Linked DNA regions of Saccharomyces cerevisiae S288C. Each later gene encodes a partner of the first gene's protein in a complex. Each region holds a gene or a part of one and is shown in the gene's direction. Other genes may lie near its edges. The genes, in order: CET1 and CEG1.

Region 1 (3,990 bases):
TTTCTGACCTCTTGCGTTGATCAACGAGAAATAACCGCAAAACTTAATTTTAAACTCCCGCGTCTGCTTTACACAGCCCACAGTAGCATCAAAAACTACGATGTAACACTAACGGTGGATTGTGAATACGGAACGAACAATCCTGCATCTTGACTTCAAAACTTGATCATATACACCTATACCGCCATGGTTATCTCGCCCTTACGCTCACCCGGACCCCCGTTAATTGCAATAATAAGAAAAAGAAAAGAAAGAAGCTTTTTATCTCATTTCACTGACAAGATGACGCTTTTTCCGATTTTAGCAGATAAACTATCACATATAACCACTTTTTTATATTACATGAAATGATGCCCTACAACACCCCTCCAAATATCCAAGAACCTATGAACTTCGCAAGCAGCAACCCCTTTGGTATTATTCCAGATGCGCTCAGTTTCCAGAATTTCAAATATGATCGTCTTCAGCAGCAGCAACAGCAGCAGCAACAGCAGCAACAAAATCGCACTGCGTCATCGTTACAGCAGCCGCAACAGCAACAACCAATAAGCCCGCCTTTGTTTTTAGTAGGGGCCGGTACCAGCGAAAACTCAAACCTTAACAAGAATGCCAACACTAGTACTATCCCTCCTTTACTCTTTAGCAGATCGTCTCAGCATTATGTTGTCCCAGATATAGACCACTCCTCCATAATATACAAGAACAACATCTGCAAATCTTTCAAAGATGACTTATTTTTCTGTCCAAGATCTTTACTTTCTCTCGAAGAACAACAAGCATGCGAGAAAATGGATAGGCTGACCGCTGAACAAATGTCATTGTATCATCAGAACACGCAATCCAGTTCTAATCCTGGTTCTATGTCTTCTTCACCTCCAAATTCTGCTTCTTCTATATTCAACTCTAGGCCGAAGTTCAATCCTTATACATCTCAAAGTTTTAATCCTTTGGAAAGTGTTCAAGAATGATCGCGATATGGACAAACACGTTGTTTTGATTTCTTTTTTGCATATTCCTCATTTGAACAAATCTTGTGTCCATGTTATGTTACGTTATGTTATATTATGTCAAGCCGTTTCATTTCCTACTTATTTTTAATTATCGGTTTCTTCTATTCATGTAGTTCACTATTCAATTAGTATATGTAGATAAAAGGAGAAGGGTTTTATCTGCAAACAGACGCAAGACGTATGTACTAAGCACTAAATACTCATATAACCATATTCTTTCAAAAATACATGCCATTTTTCTGTTTCATAATAATCCTGGAGGCTACAAGTATGGTGATATAATAAATCTTGAACCTTGTTTTACTGGAACTCCTAAAGTCAAGCCATACATAATGCCAGAAACAGGACCTGCGTAGATAACATATAACATGTACCAGTCATGATTACCCAACGTGCCGTTACAAATGATATATAGACCTACATTTTAGTTAGTTTCGTCGTAAGTTATGGTAATAAAGGAAAAGTCCTCTAATGAATCTATAATATAGGTTCACACAAATAAGAGTGATAATTAAAAGCGTATTCGACACTGAAAGATCTGCTGGGAATACTATACTGATATTTCCAAAATATCCCTTATAAATTGAATCTGGAATAGCACTTCTTTTTTTAAAAAACCTTGAATTGTTGGTAGCATTTCTATCCTCCCACTATGAGTTACACTGACAACCCTCCTCAAACAAAAAGAGCTTTATCGTTAGACGATCTGGTGAATCACGATGAAAATGAAAAGGTTAAATTACAAAAATTAAGTGAGGCGGCTAATGGCAGCAGACCTTTTGCCGAAAATTTAGAATCTGATATAAATCAAACGGAAACGGGCCAAGCTGCTCCGATTGACAATTACAAGGAGAGTACTGGTCATGGCTCGCACTCACAAAAACCTAAATCACGCAAGTCATCTAATGATGATGAAGAAACCGATACGGATGACGAAATGGGTGCAAGTGGAGAAATTAATTTTGATTCAGAAATGGACTTTGACTATGATAAACAACATAGAAATTTACTATCCAACGGATCACCTCCTATGAATGATGGTAGTGATGCCAATGCGAAGTTAGAAAAGCCTTCTGATGATTCAATTCATCAGAATAGCAAGAGTGATGAAGAACAGAGAATACCGAAACAAGGTAATGAAGGGAACATTGCCAGCAACTATATAACCCAAGTACCTCTGCAAAAGCAGAAGCAAACTGAGAAGAAGATAGCGGGAAATGCAGTAGGAAGCGTGGTCAAGAAGGAAGAAGAAGCGAATGCAGCTGTAGATAATATTTTTGAAGAGAAAGCTACTTTACAATCAAAAAAGAATAATATCAAGAGAGATTTGGAGGTTCTGAATGAAATATCTGCGTCTTCCAAGCCCAGTAAGTACAGGAATGTTCCAATTTGGGCACAAAAATGGAAACCTACTATCAAAGCTCTTCAAAGTATAAATGTGAAAGATCTCAAAATTGACCCATCTTTTTTAAACATTATTCCCGATGATGACTTAACAAAGTCAGTACAGGACTGGGTTTATGCTACAATATACTCAATTGCTCCTGAACTAAGATCCTTCATTGAGTTAGAAATGAAATTTGGTGTTATTATTGATGCGAAAGGCCCAGATCGTGTAAATCCACCAGTTTCTTCACAATGTGTTTTCACTGAGCTTGATGCCCATCTAACGCCTAATATTGATGCATCTTTGTTCAAAGAGTTGAGCAAATATATTCGTGGTATTAGCGAAGTCACTGAAAATACAGGTAAATTCAGTATTATTGAATCCCAGACAAGAGATTCCGTCTATAGAGTCGGACTATCCACGCAAAGACCAAGGTTTTTGAGAATGAGTACAGATATTAAGACTGGGAGGGTAGGACAATTTATAGAGAAAAGACATGTAGCCCAACTACTATTATATTCACCAAAAGATAGTTACGACGTTAAAATCTCCCTAAACTTGGAATTACCTGTACCTGACAACGATCCGCCAGAAAAATATAAATCTCAAAGCCCAATTAGTGAAAGGACGAAAGACCGTGTTAGTTACATTCATAATGATTCCTGTACCAGAATTGATATTACAAAAGTCGAAAATCATAACCAAAATTCAAAAAGTAGACAATCAGAGACCACTCACGAAGTGGAACTAGAAATCAACACGCCTGCACTGTTAAACGCCTTTGATAACATAACGAACGATAGTAAAGAATATGCATCTCTTATTAGAACGTTTCTGAATAATGGTACAATTATTAGAAGAAAGTTATCGTCTTTATCATATGAAATTTTTGAAGGTTCAAAGAAAGTCATGTAATATTTGAATCATTTCAAAAAAAAATAAGCAAATGCCCTTGAGCGAGAAATTTTTTTTGTTTACTCAAATGCTGTTATGAAAGCTTATGTAATAATAATAATAATGATAATAATAACATAAAAATAATTACTCTAACATTTCTTATTATCTCTATATATCCCTAATAAATAGGCCATTCTTATAATAACCAAGTCTTTCGCCATTTTGATACTATCAATAGCTAAAGCCATCTTAGAGCCATCAACCTCATGCCAGGAAATTGGTATCTCCTCAATTTGGATTCTTTTTCTGATGGCTAAGATCAAAATTTCAACGTCAAAGATCCAACCCTCTGTATGCAAATACGGAAAAATTTTCAATATAGCGGCTCTGTTGAACAATTTGAATCCACATTGTGTGTCTTTGATAGACCTGATGCCGAAGATGAAAACTAAGGTATGGAAACCGTACATCAAGCAGTTTCTTATCATTGATCTCTTTATGACGGCTTCGGTATTTACCATATGTGCTCTGGAACCAATTGCTACTGCTGGTTTAGTCGTTTTTAGATCTGTACTAGACGTTTCAATTTTGCTAATAGCATCTATTAGTTTTTCTACATCACTGAACTTACTAGCACCATCAGCATCGGCAAAAAGACCATACTTACCTCTAATATGTAAAAAACCTTGTCTCACT
Region 2 (4,203 bases), on another chromosome or scaffold:
GAAGGAGGATTCTGCTAAAGAGAGTTTCTCAGTATCAAAAGAAGAATCATCTATATACTTTGTCTCTACGTCATTTTCATGATTAGCGATTTCTTTTTTTCTTTTATTCTTTGATAACTTACTCAATTTCCCTCTCACGGTAAGGCCTCTTTCAGTCTTTTTCCAATTGTAATAAAATCTAACAATCATCGACATAGGTTGAGTGCCCACATACTCACACACTGGGCGTAATTCACTCCCAAATTTCTCGACAGCTTCCTCAAACTTTCGGATCTCCACGGCGGTAAAACTTGGCTCTTTCAAAAATTTTCTGGAAAGCTCCCTTTTACATTTTTTAAATGCCTCTGCTGTATCATAATTTGTAAATAATAAATTCTTTAGGACTACATCAATGAAATTACAAGTCTCACCTCTCACATTGAGAATAGGGCATATTTCGCTTTTGCATTGTTCAATATATTCACTCAATTTTCGAGTAGTAATTTTTGATGCATCAAGTACCCATGCTAGTTCCGAAGTTTTCGTTGAGCCTCGCTCTTCTTCTGAATTTGCACTTATATACGAGTTCCGCCTCCAGGGCACATTATGATTACATCCGTTCCATTGATACTTCACTCCTACCCTAGAGGGTTTGAAAGGATATGGAAAAAACATAGAATCATTTAATGCGTCACCAATATGAGAAATGGAATATATTCCTAAGTATTGAAACCAGCAATTTTCGGTATTATAACCAACATTCTCTTTGATAGCTTTGCTAGAAATTTCTTCAATTTTTTGTCTTACAGAGCGAATAAAATCCAGTTCCAGTGCTTGTTCTTCTAGAAACCTAACATGCGAGTCCTTAGTACCTTGTTGTTTCTGTAAGCAACTGAAGCAGGTCCAAACGACGTCTTTGTTCGGCTTCCTGTCAAGTGGCGGATCCATACAGTATAGATGTGCACAAACGCCGCATTCATCACATGAAAGGCTCTCCTTTTGGATACACCATTCTTTACAGAACTGACATCTTTTATCCCATTGGTAGTCTGCAGGACTTAATTCGTTTACCTCTAGTTCATGGAAAACGTATTTCTTCAAAACGTTCTCCAATGGATACTTCGGTTCTGTATAGATATAACGAAATCTCCTATTCAAAACATAAAGAAATGGCGACTTACTGTTCCATTTATTTAATATTTTATCCGTGCTGTAAACTTTGTAATATTTCAAAGTATATCTGTCAAAAAGTTCATCAAAGTAAAAGATATTGGGTCGTATAATGCATTCCTTCTCATTAGGAAGAACATCAAAAACTTCGTCTTTATGAAATATACTACATTTTCCCCTGTATGATGAAATAGGACATATGTCCTGGTGTAATGATGCATACACCAACCTTGGGTTAAAAGTATTTACGTGCTCTTGAATATCCCTAGGACGATAAAACCAATTCATTCTAACTTGAAAAAATTTAGCAGGGAAGACCGATGTTGTCTTTATAGCTTCATGAATAGTGTTAGAAAATTCTGGTTTACTAACAAAATTTACAACTCTGCCAACATAATAAGGCTCGCCAGCAGGCTCTGATATCATATAAATAGTGTCGTTCGCAGATAAAAGGACAGATTCTGTATTGAAAAGAGACATCTTTTTCAAGTCAATCATGGCATCATCTAGATCAAGTATGTTAGAGAATCTGCTATTCTTTCTGAACGAAGGGGGTAATGTAGGGATAAAGTTCCAGCAAGTATTCTTATCATGAAGGAATTTTTGGTACTTGAATTTCTCGTTTCTACTAGCTGGATTGCTTGTCCTTTTACAATTCCTGGGAGTTTGGCTATTGCTACCCTTGGTCTTAGCACCACTTTTTTCCGCTATTTGTATTTGTTGAACTAATTTAGTATCTATTTCCATTTCATTATAATTCACGTTTTTAGCAGCCTCTCTTCTTCTAGGTAATTGGAAATCTTCTTCTTTAGGCATAGCGTGACCAGCTGAAAGGCAGATGATCTCAATATGTCCCGATAGGCCAATTTTGCCACCAGATAGTTCGATGGCATTTTATTTTTAGTCCTTTTGAAAGCAATATCATAAAATATATATAGTTCTCCATGATGTTCGGGTCAGTCGCTCCGAAGCGTAACCTAGTATAATAAATAGTTCATTGCAGAAAATAACGAAAGAAATGGTGGAATACGATCTGTTATATCTAAACTAAAGCTAACTAACGGAATAAGCAAATACGAATCGACCGCTAATTTAACAAATATGGTTTTAGCAATGGAAAGTAGAGTGGCACCGGAAATTCCTGGGCTCATTCAACCTGGGAATGTCACGCAAGACTTGAAGATGATGGTCTGTAAATTATTGAATTCCCCAAAACCTACGAAAACATTCCCTGGTTCCCAGCCTGTGTCCTTTCAGCATTCTGATGTGGAAGAGAAGCTGCTTGCGCATGATTACTACGTTTGTGAGAAAACAGATGGTCTGCGGGTGTTGATGTTTATAGTGATAAATCCTGTGACGGGTGAGCAAGGATGCTTTATGATTGATAGGGAAAATAACTATTATCTGGTTAATGGATTTAGGTTTCCCAGATTACCCCAAAAGAAGAAAGAAGAGCTGCTAGAGACTCTTCAAGATGGCACCTTATTAGATGGTGAACTTGTCATACAAACTAACCCAATGACAAAATTACAAGAGTTGCGTTATTTAATGTTCGATTGTCTTGCTATCAATGGTAGATGTCTCACACAATCACCAACAAGTTCTAGACTAGCCCACCTTGGAAAAGAATTTTTTAAACCATACTTCGATTTAAGAGCAGCGTACCCTAATCGTTGTACTACTTTTCCGTTCAAAATTTCCATGAAACATATGGATTTCAGTTACCAATTAGTAAAAGTTGCTAAAAGTTTAGATAAACTACCACATCTTTCTGATGGTCTGATATTTACTCCTGTGAAGGCACCTTACACTGCCGGCGGAAAAGATTCATTGTTATTAAAATGGAAGCCAGAACAAGAAAACACCGTGGACTTCAAATTGATTTTAGATATCCCAATGGTGGAGGATCCTTCTTTGCCTAAAGATGATCGGAACAGGTGGTATTACAATTATGACGTTAAGCCAGTTTTCAGCTTATATGTCTGGCAAGGCGGAGCTGATGTCAATTCACGTTTAAAACATTTCGACCAGCCTTTCGATAGGAAGGAATTTGAAATATTAGAAAGAACATACAGAAAATTTGCAGAGTTGAGCGTTTCAGATGAGGAATGGCAAAATTTGAAGAACCTAGAACAGCCATTAAATGGTAGAATAGTAGAGTGCGCAAAAAACCAAGAGACTGGGGCGTGGGAAATGTTAAGATTCAGGGATGATAAGTTAAATGGTAATCATACATCGGTGGTCCAGAAAGTTTTGGAGAGTATCAACGATTCAGTTTCATTGGAGGACCTCGAGGAAATTGTTGGTGATATTAAAAGGTGCTGGGACGAGAGAAGAGCAAATATGGCTGGTGGTAGTGGGAGACCACTACCGTCTCAAAGTCAAAATGCGACATTATCTACCTCTAAGCCAGTCCATTCACAGCCCCCAAGTAATGATAAGGAGCCAAAATATGTAGACGAGGATGATTGGTCGGATTAGGCTAAGAAGTGTTCGTATCGACATATATCGGTGTAAGAATTTTGTGTATGAATAAGATAGAAAAGCAAAAGCAATTGCTTTTGCTAAATTAATTCAGTTAGTTATCTATTTATATGTACATGAGAAATGGGAGAATTTTGAGAAGCGAGGGTGAAAGTGTTATATACGCATATACATGTATATATATGCGCATGCTTATCACCTATGGGAAAGGACTAAACTTTTCAATAATTCTCTTGGGTTACCGTTACCACTTAGGAAATATTTTTCGTCAATCAAGTTCTCCCACTTTTTTCCTGTGATATCCTTGTCTAATAAAACATTTGATTGTTTGTAGTAATCGATTAGTTCGTTAACTTCCTGTTTGTTCAGTTTAGGAACCTCGAATTCGGTGACATTACCTTTTTGGAGCAATTCTACGAACTTCGGTTCATAGTGATATCTAGTAACATAGGGGTCTACTGGGATCTTGCCCAATGCCACGGGTAAAGTTTTGTTTGTCCTGTCAACGCCGGATATAGCTAATATAGTAGAACTCTCACCATTAGCAAATTTCGTCTCTCCTGAAATAAT

Evidence for each region.
Region 2: the proteins of CET1 (region 1) and CEG1 are in contact, whole or in part, in a crystal structure (PDB 3KYH), measured with the Saccharomyces cerevisiae proteins. Residues at the interface, in NP_015096.1 of Saccharomyces cerevisiae: Ile246 (codon at 2,398), Trp247 (codon at 2,401), Ala248 (codon at 2,404), Gln249 (codon at 2,407), Lys250 (codon at 2,410), Trp251 (codon at 2,413), Lys252 (codon at 2,416), Pro253 (codon at 2,419), Thr254 (codon at 2,422), Lys256 (codon at 2,428), Ala257 (codon at 2,431), Ser260 (codon at 2,440), Ile261 (codon at 2,443); in NP_011385.3 of Saccharomyces cerevisiae: Leu262 (codon at 3,034), Trp295 (codon at 3,133), Val301 (codon at 3,151), Arg304 (codon at 3,160), His307 (codon at 3,169), Phe308 (codon at 3,172), Gln310 (codon at 3,178), Pro311 (codon at 3,181), Phe312 (codon at 3,184), Asp313 (codon at 3,187), Glu316 (codon at 3,196), Trp337 (codon at 3,259), Leu340 (codon at 3,268), Lys341 (codon at 3,271), Glu344 (codon at 3,280), Gln345 (codon at 3,283), Pro346 (codon at 3,286), Leu347 (codon at 3,289), Asn348 (codon at 3,292), Gly349 (codon at 3,295), Arg350 (codon at 3,298), Asp370 (codon at 3,358), Asp371 (codon at 3,361), Lys372 (codon at 3,364), Leu373 (codon at 3,367), Asn374 (codon at 3,370).

The regions. Positions count from the first base shown.
Region 1 is NC_001148.4:116,720-120,709, forward strand, and holds CET1 (polynucleotide 5'-phosphatase), read left to right. Parts: upstream 1-1,662; coding exon 1,663-3,312; downstream 3,313-3,990. Other genes in the region: YPL229W (uncharacterized protein), read left to right, coding at 348-968; ALG5 (dolichyl-phosphate beta-glucosyltransferase), read right to left, coding at 3,444-3,990. UniProt on the Saccharomyces cerevisiae protein: First step of mRNA capping. Converts the 5'-triphosphate end of a nascent mRNA chain into a diphosphate end.
Region 2 is NC_001139.9:263,895-268,097, forward strand, and holds CEG1 (mRNA guanylyltransferase), read left to right. Parts: upstream 1-2,250; coding exon 2,251-3,630; downstream 3,631-4,203. Other genes in the region: DNA-binding E3 ubiquitin-protein ligase SNT2, read right to left, coding at 1-1,965; mitochondrial 37S ribosomal protein mS29 RSM23, read right to left, coding at 3,829-4,203. UniProt on the Saccharomyces cerevisiae protein: Second step of mRNA capping. Transfer of the GMP moiety of GTP to the 5'-diphosphate terminus of RNA via a covalent enzyme-GMP reaction intermediate.